Linked DNA regions of Callithrix jacchus. The protein of the gene in region 1 purifies or fractionates together with the protein of each later gene. This does not show direct contact. Links are inferred from orthologs where the notes say so. Each region holds a gene or a part of one and is shown in the gene's direction. Other genes may lie near its edges.

Region 1 (8,683 bases):
GTTTCTTTCTTTCCTTCTTTCTTTTTTTTTGTTTTGAGACACAGTCTCGCTCTTTCACCCAGGCTGAGTGCAGTAGTTCAATCTGGGCTCACTGCAACCTGCACCTCCTGGGTTCAAGCAATTCTCTCGCCTCATCCTCCTGAGTAGCTGGGGCTATAGGGGCATGCCACCACACCCGGCTAATTTTTTGTATTTTTAGTAGAGACAGGGTTTCACCATGTTAGCCAGGATGGTCTCAATCTCCTGACCTTGTGATCCACCTGCCTCGGCCTCCTAAGGTGCTTTGATTACAGACGTGAGCAACCTTACCTGGCCTTCTTTGACTCTTTTTAATGTAATTACTGAAGAAATCCAGAAGGCTCTTAGGGGAGGAAGGCCAAGGAGTTCTCCTTAACCTAACAGAAAGGAGCATGTGTGATCAATGGATTCTAACTAGATAGAAAAGTTTTCTTTGAAAATGCCTTTGTCATAATCTTGTATAATCGTATAACAGAAATTCTTAACCATTTTAAGGAAAAGTTTTCATCAGATCAAACATCTAATTGCCTGTTTTCCTCCCTTTGTTTTTTGCTTGGGGCCAGGAGCAAAAGGCTATTTTTGCAGCACAATCTCTTATCAGTGAGGAAAGATAGAGACATTTCATCTTTCCTCCCATTTTTCTCCTAATGCACACAATTGTTTAGGGGGAAAAGCCTAGGAGTAATTTGGAACTGTTTTGAAGCCAAGACTTTCTAACAAAAACTTTATTCCCTGATTATTTGGAATGTTTAATTTTTTTTTTTTTTTCTTTTTTGAGACGGAGTTTCGCTCTTGTTACCCAGGCTGGAGTGCAATGGCGCGATCTTGGCTCACCGCAACCTCCACCTCCTGGGTTCAGGCAATTCTCCTGTCTCAGCCTCCTGAGTAGCTGGGATTACAGGCACGCGCCACCATGCCCAGCTAATTTTTTGTATTTTTAGTAGAGACGGGGTTTCACCATGTTGACCAGGATGGTCTCGATCCATTGACCTTGTGATCCACCCACCTCAGCCTCCCAAAGTGCTGGGATTACAGGCTTGAGCCACCGTGCCCGGCTATGAAATGTCTAATTTTTATCTGTGGATGAAAACTGGCCTTTTGTAACACCCACTAGATTTGTAAGCCCTGGGAGACCAGGGGATGGCATCTAACTTGCTCAGCATTGTATACTGTACATCCATTTTACATCTCACTTGGTGCCTCTGGCACACAGTAGGTACATAGTAAATACCTTTGAATGAAAATTTCTGTTATTCAGAGATTCTAATTCTTTTGTTTGGAGGATTCTGCTTTTCCTCCATTCTCCTGCTTAACTCTGTCTTCTAAGTATGGAAAAAATATATTTGTAGCACTCTTTTTCAGGTCATTTAAGAGGCCACAATAAAAACTGGTTATATAGGGCTGGGCATGGTGGCTCATGCGTGTAATCCAAGCACTTTGGGAGGCCAAGATGGGCAGATCACTTAAGGCCAGGAGTTCAGGACCAGCCTGGCCAACACTGCAAAACCCTCTCCCTACTAAAAATACAAAAATGAGCTAGGCGTGGTGGCACATGCCTGTAATCCCAGCTACTCAGGAGACTGAGGCAGGAGAATCACTTAAACACGGGAGGCAGAGGTTACAGTGAGCTGAGACCATGCCACTGCACTGCATCCTGGGAGACAGAGCAAGACTCTGTCTCAAAAAAAAAAAACAAAAAAAAAAAACTGAGCCGGGTGTAGTGGCTTACGCCTGTAATCCCAGCACTGTGGAAGGCTGAGGCGGGCAGATCACCTGAGGTTGGGAGTTCGAGACCAGCCTGACCAACATGGAGAAACCCCGTATCTATTAAAAATATAAAATTAGCCAGGTGTGGTGGTGCATGCTTGTAATCCCAGCTGCTCAGGAGGCTGAGGCAAGAGAATCGCTTGAACTTGGGAGACTGTTGTTGTAGTGAGCCAAGATCGTTCCATTGCCTGGGCGACAGGAGCGAAACTCCGTCTCAAAAACAAAAAACAAACAAAACAAACACAAACCCACAAACCTGGTTATATAGAATAGTGTCATTTTTACCCCGTTCCACATCAAGATTGCCTTGAAATTAAATATTTTTTCTCTCTTTTTAAAAATTTTTTGGAGACAGGGTCTCACTATGTTGCCCAGGCTGGAGTACGGTGGCTATTCACAGGCATGATCCCACTACTGATCAGCACAGGAGTTTTGAGAAGCTAAATATTTTAAGCTTTTCCCCTCATGCCATTTAATTTGTAATTGTAAAAATAAACAATATTTGAAAGCTTCTAAGACATCCACTTTCTGCAGATTGGAACATGCAGCTAGTTGAGACAGGGCTTTCCATCAAGTTCATTTTTATGCTTTGTGCATTATCCTTATACTAGAATCACAGATTTTCTCTGCTTTGCCTAACAGCAGCTTGTTTCTGAAGAAAATTTTTTAAATCTTATTTTTCTTAAATGCCTTTTATGAAAACCATCAATACAAATTTATGATCTTCTCTAATCCCCCACGGTCTCAAATTAAATTGTATCAGAAAAATTTTAAGGGAGGGAAAATTTGAAATCCGATTGTACTTTCTTAAAAAGCAGAAGTTTTAAATACTGTAAATATGGGTATTCATAGCTGACCCTTTTTTCCTGTTTCTAGGACTATCCTATTAAGTGTAATCTCACTGCTTAATGAGCCCAACACCTTCTCCCCAGCCAACGTCGATGCTTCAGTTATGTTCAGGAAATGGAGAGACAGTAAAGGAAAAGACAAAGAATATGCTGAAATCATTAGGTAAGTTGCTTTGGTTTTTTTTTTTTTTTTTAATTACCTCAAGTCATTATACAAAACCAAAATATATTCTGGAACCAAGGTTTTACATCAAACTTAAATATCCTGTCCATTCCAGGATAATTTTCCTCAATTAGATTTATAGTGTGGGAAGAGAAGATTTCTGCCTGAGCCCAGTGAACTTCGCTAGATAATGCAGTAGCAGACCTGATTTTCTAGAAACCAGAACTTCTAGGTTCTTAACTAGACAAGTTTGCAAAGTGTCTTTTAATCATTTTAGGGACCTTGTTCTAGAACATATTGGTTAAGTGTAGCAAACGCAATTACCCAAGGTACTCCAGATTTTCCAGGTACATAGGACAGAGTATCAGGTGTACGTAAGACAGAGTAATTTTGTTTTCAAAATTTGAATAAATAGGCCCGGCACAGTGGCTCATGCCTGTAATCCCAGTGCGTTGGGAGGCTGAGGCAGGTAGATCACTGAGGTCAGGAGTTTGAGACCAGCCTGGCCAACATGGTGAAACCCCATCTCTACACAAAAATTAGCCAGGTGTGGTGGTGCATGCCTGTAATCCCAGCTACTCAGGAGGTTGAGGCAGGAGAATTGGTTGAACCCAGGAAGTGAAGGTTGCAGTGAGCCAAGATTGCACCACTACACTCCAGCCTGGGCGACACTCCATCTTAAAAAAAAAAAAAAAAAAAATTGAATAAATAAAGCCTTCTAGTTTATTGGCATTCCTGACCATAGCAGCAAGTATCTTGGAAATCCTCATTCTCAGCAACACTAATGTGTGGTATAACAGAACCCTAGAATAAGATTCAAGGGATTTGGAATCTACTAGTGGCTCTGCTATTATGAAAAATGGTCCCACAAATAATTAGTCCAAAATGATTAATTTTTGGGTTCTTTTACTTTCTTCTCTATGTATAATGGAAAAAAGCTCAACCTTTAATCTCTTAGGACATCAGGTTCTTCTAATAGTACCCAAAAAATTTGCAAATACAAACCCTACCCTTCCCCCACCCTCCACCTCTTTATTTAAATTATTATTATTTTTTACATTCTTACTCTGTCACCCAGGCCAGGGTGCAGTGGCATGATCTCAGCTCACTGCAACCTCCGCCTCCAGGGTTCAAGTGATTCTCCTGCCTCATCTTCCTGAGTAGCTGGGATTACAGGCACCCACCACCATGCCTGGCTAATATTTTGCATTTTTAGTAGCAACAGGGTTTTACCATGTTGGCCAGGCTGGTCTCAAACTCCTGACCTTGTGATCCAGACAACTCGGCCTCTCAAAGTGCTGGGATTACAGGCGTGAGCGACTGCACCCAGCCTCCTCCACCTCTTTTTAAAGAAACATGGTCTCCCTCTGTTGCCCAGGCTGGAGTGCAGTGGTGTTATCACAGCCCATGGTAACCTGAATTCCTGGGCTCAGGCAGTCCTCCCACCTCAGCAACCAAGACTATAAGCATGTACCACCACACTCAGCTAATTTCTATTATTATTTTTTGTAGAGCCAAGGTCTTGCTATGTTGCCTAGCCTGGTCTTGAACTCTTGGCTTCAACTGATCCTCCTGCCTCAGCCTTCCAAAGCTCTGGGATTTGGTGTGAGCCACTGGGCCTGGCCTCAACCCCATTTGATGTTAGATTTTAATTTTTTAAAATACAGACCCTAAATACAGTTACAGCTTACTTTTGTGCATAGGAGTTCAGTAAGCACTGGCATTTATACAAATAAGAGTAAAATCTAGTTGGCTAGAGACCAAGTGATATGAAAAAAGTTAGAACAATGCTGGGAAAGCACATGAGGTGACTGCTGAGTAATAAAATCAGCAGTTCTAAGTTTTCTGCCCATTGGGATCACCTTTAGACTGTCCCTAAATGACAGCTGTCTTTTATGAGATTACAAGGACAGAGTTTGAGAATCTGTTTGTATGTATATATCTCACCTAGGTGACTGATACATACCAAAAATTGAAGATAATTAGTATAAATAGTAAGATCCTACATAAATCTAGAGGCATGGGAGTGTACTAAGGATTGAAGGATCAGAAAGCTTATGTATACATATTTTTAAGGTACTTCTATATATTTCTTAATTTAAGGGTCCCTTTATCTCATTATATCTATGCCTTAATTACCTAGCACAGTGCCTGACACTCAGCAACAACTTTGTATCAGGTACTCATTAAGACAGAGCATGTCTCCTTAGGGAGCTCACTTAATAGCATTTAAAAACAAACGACCATGTATAATTATACCTATAGAAGCTTAAACAAGAAACATTGGGAGAAATATATAATGTAATAATTTCTAGCAGAGATAATTCCTCATAACCAATAATTTTTCAGGTGAAAAAAGGGAAGGAAAACACCCATGTTTGCTACAATACAGGATTATAATAGCATGACATGCATGTGAAGTCAGTTACAAATGCTTGACTATTTTTTTGAGACAGTCTCCCACTTTCACCCAGCCTGGAGTACAGTGATGCAATTTCTACTCACTGCAACCTCTGGCTCCAGGGCTCAAACTGTCCTACTTCAGTTGGACAGGGGACTGACATGGACTAAATTGAGGCAGTAGTAGTGGGGATGAGGCAGGCGGATCACTTGAGCTCAGGAGTTTGAGACCAGCATGGGCAATGTGGCAAAATCCATCTCTACAAAAAAATTAGGCATGGTGGCTCATGCCTATAAGTTCTGATGTCAGAAATATTAGAAAATTAAGCAAGAGAGGTACCAGGTCTTAAAATACATTGAAGTCATGATAAGAGAGTATCTTAATCTAAGAGGTGATGGGGTACCACTTAAGTATTTTTGGGAGGGAAGAGAGTTCTGATAAAAGACAATTGGCTGCCTGGTGCGGTGGCTCACACCTGTAATCCCAGCACTTTCGGAGGCAGGTGAATCACCTGAGGTCAGGAGTCCAAGATCAACCTGGTCAACATGGTGAAACCCTGTCTCTACCAAAAAAAAAATACAAAATTTAGTTGGGTACAGTGGTGCACACCTGTAGTCCCAGCTACTTGGGAGACTGAGGCAGGAGAATTGCTTGAACCTGGGAGGCAGTGGTTGTAGTGAGCTGAGATCACGCCACTGCACTCCAGCCTAGGCAACAGAGCAGGACTCTGTCTTCAAAAAAAAAAAAAAAGAGAGGAGAGGAGAAGATGGCACTATAGGAGCAACTCAGGATTGCAGCTCCCAGTGAAAGCACAGAGGGTGAGTGGACGCCACATTTCCAGATGGATCTTTATTGCCCACAGATCAGGAGATTCCTAGGTGTAGGAGCCCCACGGGCCGCCAATGTGGCTGTTTAAGCCGGCGTGGCTGTTTCGGTTGGCGCCACAGCGCAGCAGCACTCCGTACAAAATACACTTGTCTGGTTGCCCTGTTAAACCGGCAATTTGAGATTTGGGAAGGCAGATTAGCACATTCATCTGATTAAATGGGACCTAAACAGTTAGCCCAGGAGATTCCTGGGCAGTGATGTTGTTTCAGCTGGCGCAGTGGGTCGCCGCACAGGAAATCACACAGATCCTGGTGCCCTTTCAGCAGGCGACTGGAACACCTGGGAGAGTCAACCGTTCAACTTAAAAAAAAAAAAAAGGGCTCTGAGGTAGGGAGCCAGGTGATAAGGCTCGGCGGGTCCCACCCCCACAAAACCAAAGAAAACAGCAATTGGAAACGCTCGGGGTTGAGAGTTTCACGGCAAGCACAGCTGAACCCAGGATGGTGCAGCTCGGAGGAGGAGGGGCATCTGCCATTACCGAGGCACTCCACCTCTACGGAGGTACTCTGCCATTGCTGGCGCAGCCTGCCGTTGCCGAGGCAACCCGCCATAACAGAGACAGTCCACCATTACAGAGGCGGGCCACCATTGCCACGGCAGTTCTAACCACACCCATATAAATAGGACTACAGGGAATTACACACAGCAGCAGGGCAGAGCCCAGAGCAGCTCAGCATAGCCACTGCAGGCAGGCAGTGACTAGACTGCCTCCTTGCTGGGCAGGGTAGTGCAACGGATGCTCATAAATAAAGCCCTAACTCCCCGGGACAGAGCACCTGAGGAAAAAAAGGGGCTTTATGAGTTCTGCTGCAGCAGACTTAAACGTACCTGCGTAGCAGCCCTGAATGAACAATGGAGCTCACAGCTCAGCACTTGAGCTCCTATAAAGTACAGACTGTCTCCTCAAGCAGCTCCCTGACCCCCATATATCCAAAAACTCACCTCACAAAGGACTGATCAGACTGACATTTGGCAGGCATAATTCTGGGACAAAGATAGCAGAAGAAGAAACTGGTAGCAACCCTCACTGTTCCGCAGCTGCTACAGGTGTTCCCCAGGCAAGCAGGGCCTGGAGTGGACCTCAGCAGTCCTACAGCAGTGGGGCTAGACTGTTAGAAAGAAAACTAAGAAACAGAAATACTTCATCATTAACAATCTAGACATCCACTCAGAGACCCAATTGGAAAGTCAGCAACTACTCAGACGACAGGTGGATAAATCCATCAAGATGGGAAAAAACCAGTGCAAAAAGGAGGAAAACACCTGAAACCAGAACACCTCGCCTCCTACAAGGGACCACAACCCCTCACCAGCAAGGGAACAAAGCTGGATGGAGAATAATGAGAAACTTGTGTGAGCTAAAAGAACACGTTCTAACTCAATGCAAAGAAACTAAGAACTTGGAAAAAACATTTGAGGAAATGATAACAAGAATGGACAACTTAGAGAGGAATATGAGTGAATTGATGGAGCTGAAAAACACAACACGAGAACTTCATGAAGCATGCACAAGTCTCAACAGCCGAATTGACCAAGCAGAAGAAAGGATATCAGAAGTCGAAGATCAACTCAATGAAATAAAATGAGAAACCAATATTAGAGAAAAAAGCGCAAAAAGGAATGAACAAAGTCTCCAAGAAATGTGGGATGAGGTGAAGAGATCTAATCTACATTTGATAGGTGTACCTGAATGGACGAAGAGAATGAATCCAAGCTGGAAAATACTCTTCAGGATATTATCCAGGAAAATTTCCCCAACCTAGCAAGGCAGGCCAATATTCAAGTCCAGGAAATACAGAGACCACAACAAAGATATTCCACAAGAAGAGCAACCCCAAGGCACATAATCGTCAGATTCACCAGGGTTGAAATGAAGGAGAAAATGCTAAGAGCAGCCAGAGAGAAAGTCACTCGGGTCACCCACAAAGGGAAGCCCATCAGACTCAAAGCAGATCTCTTGGCAGAAACCCTACCAGCCAGAAGAGAGTGGGGGCCAATATTCAACATCCTTAAAGAAAAGAACTTTCAACCCAGAATTTCATATCCAACTGAGCTTCATAAGTGAAGGAAAAATAAAATCCTTTGCGAACAAGCAAGTACTCAGAGATTTTGTCACCATCAGGCCTGCTCTACAAGAGCTCCTGAAAGAGGCACGTAGAAAGGAACAACCAGTACCAGCCACTCTGAAAACACACCAAATGTTGAAGAGCATCAACAAAATGAAGAATCTGCATCAACTAACAGGCAAAACAGCCAGCTAGTATCAAGTTCACGCATAACAATATTAACCCTAAATGTAAATGGGCTAAATGCACCAATCAAAAGACACAGACTGGCAAATTGGATAAAAAAAACCCATCAGTGTGCTGTATCCAGGAAAGCCATCTCACATGCAGGGATACACAAAGGCTCAAAATAAAGGGATGGAGGAAGATTTACCAAGGAAATGGAGAGCAAAAAAAAAAAAGCAGGAGTTGCAATTCTCGTCTCTGATAAAATAGATTTTAAAGCAACAAAGATCAAAAGAGACAAAGAAGGACATTACATAATGGTAAAAGGATCGATACAAAAAGAAGAGTTAATGATCCTAAATATATA
Region 2 (8,683 bases), on another chromosome or scaffold:
GCCAAGGCGGGTGGATCAGAAGCTCAAGAGATCGAGACCATTCTGGTCAACAAGGTAAAACACTGTCTCTACTAAAAAATACAAAAATTAGCTGGGCATGGTGGCACGCACCTGTAGTCCCAGCGACTCGGGAGGCTGAGGCAGGAGAATTGCTTGAACCCAGGAGGCGGAGGTTGCGGTGAGCCAAGATTGCACCATTGCACTCCAGCCTGGGTAACAAGAGCGAAACAACATTGCAAAAAAAAAAAAAAAAAAAAAAGTTGCAGTGGACTTTTGGGGACTTAGGGGGAAGAGTGGGAGGGGGTAAAGTATAGAAGACTGCAAATACAGTACAGTACAGTACCCACCCGAGTGATGGGTGTACCACAATCTCACAAATCACCACTAAAGTACTTACTCCTGTAAACAAATATCACCTGTACCCCAATAACTTATGGAGAAGTAAAAAAAAAAATAAATTTTAAAAGTCAATAAAAAAATAAAAGGCTAGAAAACTAATACAGTGACCAATCTCATACCACAGTGGACTTAAACTAGAAATCAGTAACAAAAAGAAGCTGGAAAAGTGTCTAAAAACTTTAAGATTAAGTAACGTAATTCTAAATGACACATAAACAAAGAAGAAATTTCAGGAAAAATTTTTAAAGTATTTTGAGGCTGGGCACAGTGGCTCACGTCTGTAACCCCTGCCCTTTGGGAGGCTGAGGTGGGAGGATCACTTGAGCCCAGAAGTTTGAGACCAACCTGGGCAACATAGGGATACCTGTCTCTTAAAAAAAAAAAAAAAAATTAGCTGGACATTGTGGCATGTGTCTGTAGTCTTAGCTACTCAAGAGGCTGAGGTAGGAGGATCACTTGAGCCCAGGAGGTTCAAGGCTGCAGTAAGCTGTGATTGCATCACTGTATTTCAGCCTGAATGACAGTGTTAGACTCTCTCTTCTTCCCTCCCTCCCTGTGTGTGTGTGCATGTGCATGTGCATGTGTGTGGGTGTAACTAAATGAAAATGAAAACCCAAGTTATCAAAATCTGTGAAATACAGTGAAAGCTTAGAGAGAATTTTGCAATTTTGAGTGCATATATTAGAAAAGAAGAAAGACTAAAATCATTCATCTAAGCTTCTACCTTAGAAAACTAGAAAAAGAGCAGATTATATCCATAGTAAGCAGAAGAAAAGGGTTAATGAAAATTAGGGCAGAGATCAATGAAATTGATAACAGGTAATCAATAGAAATAATTATGGAAACCAGAAGATTTGTCTTTGAAAAGATGAGTAAAATTGATAAGCCCCTAGCTATGTAATGTAGGAAAAAAAGGACTCAAATTTCTAATACAGAAATGAAAGAGGAGATCACTATAGATCTCATGAATATTAAATGAATAATAAAAGAATATTATGAACAACTCCATGTCCACAAATTTGATAATTTATCTGAAGTGAATTAATTCCCTGAAAGACACAATCTGCCAGAATTGTCATAAAAGCAAATGGATAATCTGAATAGGTCTTTATCTGTTGAAGAAATCAAGTCAATAATTAATTACCTTTCAAAACAGAAAGCACTAGGCCCAGATTGGTTACTGGTGAATTCTGCCAAACATTTAAGCAAGAAATAACACCAGTTCTCTACAACCTCTTCCAAAAGATAGAAGCAGAGAGAATATTTCCTTGCTCATTCTATGAGGCCAGCATTACCTTAGTACTGAACTAGACACAAAGACATTATAAGAAAAGAAAATCACAGACCATTATCACTCATGAGTGTGGCCACAAAAATCCTCAACAAAATATTGGCAAGCCCAGTCCAACAATATATTAAAAGATGCATTAAATATGAACAAGTATTTGTCCTAGGTATCCAAGGTTTACCTTCACATTTAACCTTCAAGAATCAATTAATATAATCCATCATATCAATAAGCCAAAAAAGAAAATCACATCAATAGATGCAGAAAAGGCATTTGACAAAATTGAACACTTACTCATGTTAAAAACCCTTAGTAAACGATGAATAGAGGAGAACTTTCTTAACTTGATAAAGAGTATCTACAAAAAAACCTATAAGATCAGGAATAAGGCAAAGATGTCTCTACTCACCACTACTTTTCAACATTATATTAGAACTCCTAGATAACACAGTAAGACAAGAGAAAATAAAAGGTATACAAATCAAGAAGGAAGAAGTAAACCTGTCTTTGCTTGTAGAGGACATGATTGTAGAAAAAAAATAAAAGCATTAGCAAAAAAACCTCCTAGAACTAATAAATGATTATAGCAAGGTTGCAGGATACAAGGTTAGTATACATAAATCAGTTGCTTACCCATATACCAGCAAGGAACAAGTGGAATATAAAATTAAAAACACAGTAACATAACTGTGAATGGTGGCTCATGCCTGAAATCCCAGCACTTTGGGAGGCTGAGGCGTGTGGATCATTGGAGGTCAGGAGTTTGTGACCTGCCTGGCCAACATGGTGAAACCTCATCTCTACTAAAAGTACAAAAATTAGCTGGGCCTCATGGCATGCACCTGTAGTCCTAGCTACTCAGGAGGCTGAGGCAGGAGAATCGCTTGAACCTGGGAGGTGGAGGTTGCAGTGAGCCAAGATCGTATACCTCTACACTCCAGCTTAGGTGACAGAGCGAGACTCCATCTCAAAACCAAAACAAAAAACACAGTAATATTTATATTAGCATCCCCACCCAAAACAAAAAATACAATAATATTCCTATTAGCAACCCCCCATCCCAAATGAAAAACTTAGGTATAAATCTAACAAAATATTTATGGGATCTGTGTGACTAAAACTGTCAAACTCTGATTCAAGAAATCAAACAACTAAATAAATGGAGAGATATTTCATGCTCATGGGCAGGAAGACTGTTGTGAGGATGTCAGTTATTTCTTCCCAAATGGGTCTGTAGGTTCAATGCCCTCTCAGTCAAAAACTCAGCAAGCTATTTTGTGGATATCTACCAGCTGACTTTATATGAAGCAAAAGCCAGCATGGATATTGAAGGAAAATAAAGACAGAGGATTAACACTACTTTAGGAATTACTGTAAAACTGCAGTAATCACGACGGTGTGGTGCTGGCAACAGAATGGACAGCTAGATCCATGGAAAAGAATAGAGAGCCCAGAAATACATACCTTCACAAATATAGTCACCTGATCTTTTACAAAGGTAATACAATGGAGAAAAGATAGTCTCTTCAGCAATTGGGCAGAAGCAACTAGACACCATATTGCCTCCTTTACTCCCAAATAATACAGACACAGATCCTATATACTTCACAAAAATTAAATCAAAATGGATTAAAGGCCTAGATGTAAAACAGAAAACCATAAAATTTGTAGAATACAATATAGTAGAAAACCCACATGATCTTGAGTTTGTTGGTGACTTTTTAGATACAATGTCAAAGGCATGCTTCATTAAAGAAAGAATAAGCTGGACTTCATTAAAATAAAAAATTTCTGTTCTGTGAGAGACATTGTCCAGAGAATGAAAAAACAAGCCACAGACGAGAGAAAATATATGCAAAAGACATAGAAAGAGCTCTTGAATCTCAACAGTTAGAAAATTAATTAACCTATTAAAAAAAAAAAATAAGGCATAGACCTTAACAGACATGTCACCAAAGAAGATACACAGATGGCATATAAGCATGTGACAAGATGTTCCACGTAAGTCATCAGGGAAATGTGGATTATAACAATGAGACACCACTGCACACCTGTTAGCATGGACAAAATCCAGAACACTGACAACACCCAATGCTGGCGAGCATGTGGAGCAACAGGAACAGGAGCTTGAATTCACTGCTGGTGGAAATACAAAATGGTACAGCCACGTTGTAAGGCAGTTTGGCAGTTCTTACAAAACTAAACATACTTTTACCATATGATCCAGCAGTTGTGCGACTTAATATTTACACAACGGAATCAAAAACTTATGTCTACACAAAAGCCTGGACCCAGATGTTTATGGCAGCTTTGCCCATAATTGCCCAAACTTGGAAGCAACCAAGGTGTCCTTCAGTAGGTATATGGATAAATAAACTGTAGTACATCTAGACAACAGGGATAATTTTCAGCACTAAAAAGGAACGTATATCAAGCCATGAAAAGACAGGGAGGAAGTTTAAATGTGTATTACTATGTGAAAGAAGCCAATCTAAAAAGGCTACATACTGTATGATTCCAACTCTGTGACATTCTAGAAAAGACAAATCTGTGGAAGCCGTAAAAGAAGCGAGAAAAGGAACACTCAGGAGTATGAAAACAACTATTAATAACAATTTCCTTCCTTTAATCCTTTTTTCCTTTTCTGCAGTATATACATAGTCATTGTGTCACTTTATAATTTTTATTCTGATTTTTAAAAATGCTTAACTTTGTAATGAAGCATGATATTTTCTCATTAAAAACTCTTCATAGTTTACTTTGAGACTTTTATGAAATGTTGGACATTTTATTTTTGTAAACATAGGGGTATGCATTTTTAAAAGGTCTTAATAGTTATGTTGTCATGTTGCTTTCCAGAGATTGAGCCACTTCTTTATTTTTACGAGACATAAAATAAAATGGAAAAGCAGGGTCCTGCCTTGTCACCCCGGCTGGAGTACAGTGGTGTGATTGTGACTCACTGCAGCCTTGCCTCCTGGGCTCAAGCAATCCTGTCACCTTAGCCTCCCGAGTTGCTGGGACTACAGGCAGACACCACCATGCCTGGCTAATTAAAAAAAAAAAAAAAAACATATATAAAATTTGTGGAGATGGGTTTCCCAGGCTGGTATTGAACTTCTGGGCTCAAGTGATACTTCTGTCTCTGCCTCCCAAAGTGTTGGGATTACAGGCATGAGCCATAGCACCCAGCCAGTGAGTGACTTCTTTTCACAGATTTTATTTTTTAAAAGTTCCCTTTATGAGGCCATTGGTAAGTGTAATGAGATTAATAGCTAAGGGTTCAAATTAAACAAAATAGCACATCTATCCTAGTAGTTAACCACTATTGTCTGTATTCCTACTTGTTTCTTACCTGTTTGATATTCAATGTTTCTTATTTACTATAACCCAAGTATTTCATTTTATAATCAGAACATAAGGTGGGACAGTAATATTCATCAAAATATAGTATAATAATAAATCGTTGTTTGTGGCTAATCTTGTCTCAATAGATTTGGGATAAAACCAGCCTGGAATGTTTGAAAGTGTTAACAGGACACACAGGCTCTGTCCTCTGCCTGCAATATGATGAGCGTGTCATTGTAACTGGCTCTTCAGATTCTACAGTGAGGTGAGTGATCTGGCTTTGTTGATCTTGTAAGCCTTCCCTGAGAAAGTCTGTGATTGACATCCTCCTCTGGGAGAGGCATACATAAACTTTGCATACATTTTTACAGGCTGTGTTTCAAACTACTTTTGTTGTAGATATGTTTGAGCAAATTAGGCAAAACAGCTAATTTAAGAGTGTTGCTGTTCATTTTAGAGATGATAACATGCTTTCCTGTACGAGCACATACCAAGTATTAGTCTGGCTTTTTCCTTTTGGGAAACTGTGGTCCAGAGCAGAGAGGAGGAAGGCAGCTATTCTAGGAGTGTGGTGGGCACCACCTACAAATACTGAAAGACTCAAAAGCAGTTTGCAGAATCTTTTCAGCAACACCAGGAAAGTAAAATGTGAGAGCGGATAGTATACTCGGTACTCTGTATCATTTTATCAGTTCTCACATCAACCTTTCTGAAGAGGCAGATGTTACCTCCATTTTTGGAGTTGTATTAGGAAACCAAGACCAGAGAGATTAAATAATTTGCTCAGAGTCACAGAATTAATAAATTTTGAACCTTGAATTGATTCAAGTCATGACTGTATATGTAGCCTTGCCAGTAGTGGAAGCACTGATTTTCATTTGTCACTGAGTGGCAGAATGATGAAGATGAAAGTGGCAATGTTCTGCAGTACAAGGAAAGCAATGACGTTTGGGTAAGAGGTGAGCGAGTAGAAAGGGAACATTATTGATATCCATTCCTATACCTCTGGGATAAACGCATTTTTTTCACACCAGATGGGCTTGGGAGTTGGGTGTAGTGATGAGGCCATCAGAGCTGTAGGTCACACAGGAAAGCCTCAGCAAGACTACTGGTATCTGGAGGAAATGTGAAAGAGAAGGAAACAGCTCTTCTGGGTTGGGTCAGATATTTGAAGAGGATTGTTTTACAGGTACACGAGCCTAAGCGATTGGAATGGTCACTGAGTCTGTCTTTGGATACCCACGTTCTCCCCTTTTCACTCCTCTTTATGTTAGTTGTTGTTATTAGCCTCTCACTTCACTCCTGGACACTCTCACCACCCGTTTAAAGCACGCCTAGTATCCTCCTCTGGACTCATTGCTTCTGTACCACTGCTTCTGCCAGAGATTGTGTCTGAGCCTCAGAGGCCTGAGTCTTTTCTCCTCTGCCCTGTGTGAACTTGTCCTCTAAGGAAATGAGGGTTACAAAAAAGCCATGATGTGGAGGTGCTGCCCCCAAATCCCTGGATGTACAAAGCAGTTGCTAGATCCTGGCTTTGTCCATAAAGCAGCCGGATAAAGAAGTGGATGTGATGATTGATGAGGCATCATGACTTACCCAATTTGCAGTGGATAAATAATAGACTCAGAGGCCTGTCAGAGGTCAACAAGAACTGGAAGCTTGGAACTATTCTCACTTCTTCAGCTGTCAAGATTCCTTCTTCCTGTCATCTCAGACTCACTGCAAAATTTACTTTCTTGAAGGAATCGTCTTTTCTATCAGCACAAGCCTGCAAACACCATCTCTGAATACCTGACTGCTAAATATACCTAAACTCGAGCAGAGCCAGAATTAGCCACCTTGTTTGAAACCATCTTAGCACCTCTTAGCAATAAAGACATTACTTTTAGGGCCTACTTTTAATCATGTTGTTAGGTTCATTAAGAATGGGCTCTGTCTTTGTCCATTTATGTTGCTATAAAGGAATACCTGAGGCTGGGTAATTTATAAAGAAAAGGGGCTTATTTGACTCATGGTTCTGCAGGCTCTCCAAGAGGCATATACCAGTATCTGCTTCTGATGAGGGTTTTGAGCTACCTCTACTCATGTCAGAAGGCAAAGGGTAGCCAGCATGTGCAGATTACATGTGAGAGGAAAGCAAGAGAGAGGGAGGAGATGCTAGGCCCTTTTCAACAACCAATTCTCTCAGGAACTAAGAGTGAACTCCCTCTTATGAGAATGGCACCAAGCCATTCATGAGTGATCCACCACCATGACCCAGACACCTCCTGCCAGGCCCTACCTCCAACACTGAGGATCAATTTCAGCATGAGATTTGGTGGAGTCAAACCATATCCAAACCATTGCAGACCCAAGCAGAGCTCAGATACCAGAATCATTTCCTGGCTGTCTCAATAATTAAGCATCATGCTTTTCTTTTCTCTACTAGAGTGTGGGATGTGAACACGGGTGAAGTTCTTAACACATTAATCCATCACAATGAGGCTGTACTGCACTTACGCTTCAGCAATGGACTGATGGTGACCTGTTCCAAAGACCGCTCCATTGCTGTGTGGGACATGGCTTCTGCAACTGATATCACTTTACGCCGTGTCCTGGTTGGCCACCGGGCTGCTGTCAACGTAGTAGACTTTGATGACAAGTACATCGTGTCTGCCTCTGGCGACAGGACTATCAAAGTAAGTGTGTCTGCAGTTATAACCCTACCTGCTCCTGTCCCTTTTAGAACAGGGAAAGCAGAAGTGGCTTATACCAACCGGGTACCTGGAAAGATCTTTATTCTCCTGTGTGCTCATGAACCATCTGTATACCTCTAGAGTCGTAGGCAAGGTAGGAGGAAAAGCCATGGGTCCAGAAGAGAGAACAGTCTTCTATTTAATGAAATGACATTCTTGATCACTTTTTTAAGGGGAAGAGAGCTAACCTGTTGAGCATGTATTGTCTTGAGAGCTTTACTTTACTGTCTCAGTTAACACTTCTAGCACTCTTTTGAGGTAGGTGTTGCCTGATTTTACACATGTGGCTCAGAGAGTAAACGATTGTGTTGGTGATCATCACAGCTAGTTAGTGGCAGAGCTTCGATTTAATTTTTTCACCATGTGGTGGACTCTGGGCTGGATGCTAGGGATGTGATGATGAAGACATGTCCTTGCCTTCAAGAAGCTTAGCATGCAGTAAAGTGGGAGGCAGACTTGTGACAAGGAGCTGAAGTCTAGGGTGATCCCTAGGATATGGTAAACGCAGTCCTGATTCCAATATCCAAACCAACTCTTTTGAATTTTTAGCTTTCTTGTGTTTTTATAACAGCTTTACCGAGGTTTAGTTTCCATACCATAAGATTGAACACTTTAAAGGGCGTAATTCCATGCCCCTTAGTACATTTGCAGTGTTTTATAACATCACTCTTGTCTAGTTCCAGAACATTTTCATCACTCTCTAAAACCCCCACACTCATTAGCAGTCAGCTTGTGTTTCCTCCCAGTCTCTGGTAATCTCATCTGTCTTCCGTTTTGGGATTGGCCTATTCTAAACACTTCATAGAAATGGAAGAATACACGATGTGGCCTTTTCTTTATCGCTTCTTTGACTTATTGTAATATTTTTAAGATTCATCATATGCCTTGTAGCATACAATCAGCTTTGTTCCTT

The links.
Region 2: the proteins of UBE2R2 (region 1) and FBXW11 purify together in Homo sapiens (affinity purification with mass spectrometry; 4 studies listed by BioGRID and IntAct, with this or other methods). This does not show direct contact. The link is inferred for Callithrix jacchus from reciprocal best matches to the Homo sapiens genes UBE2R2 and FBXW11.

What each region holds. Positions count from the first base shown.
Region 1 is NC_133502.1:140,777,082-140,785,764, forward strand, and holds part of UBE2R2 (ubiquitin-conjugating enzyme E2 R2), read left to right. Parts: intron 1-2,661; coding exon 2,662-2,796; intron 2,797-8,683. UniProt on the Homo sapiens protein: E2 ubiquitin-conjugating enzyme that accepts ubiquitin from an E1 ubiquitin-activating protein, and catalyzes its covalent attachment to other proteins by an E3 ubiquitin-protein ligase complex.
Region 2 is NC_133503.1:64,154,356-64,163,038, reverse strand, and holds part of FBXW11 (F-box/WD repeat-containing protein 11), read left to right. Parts: intron 1-5,181; coding exon 5,182-5,300; intron 5,301-7,463; coding exon 7,464-7,713; intron 7,714-8,683.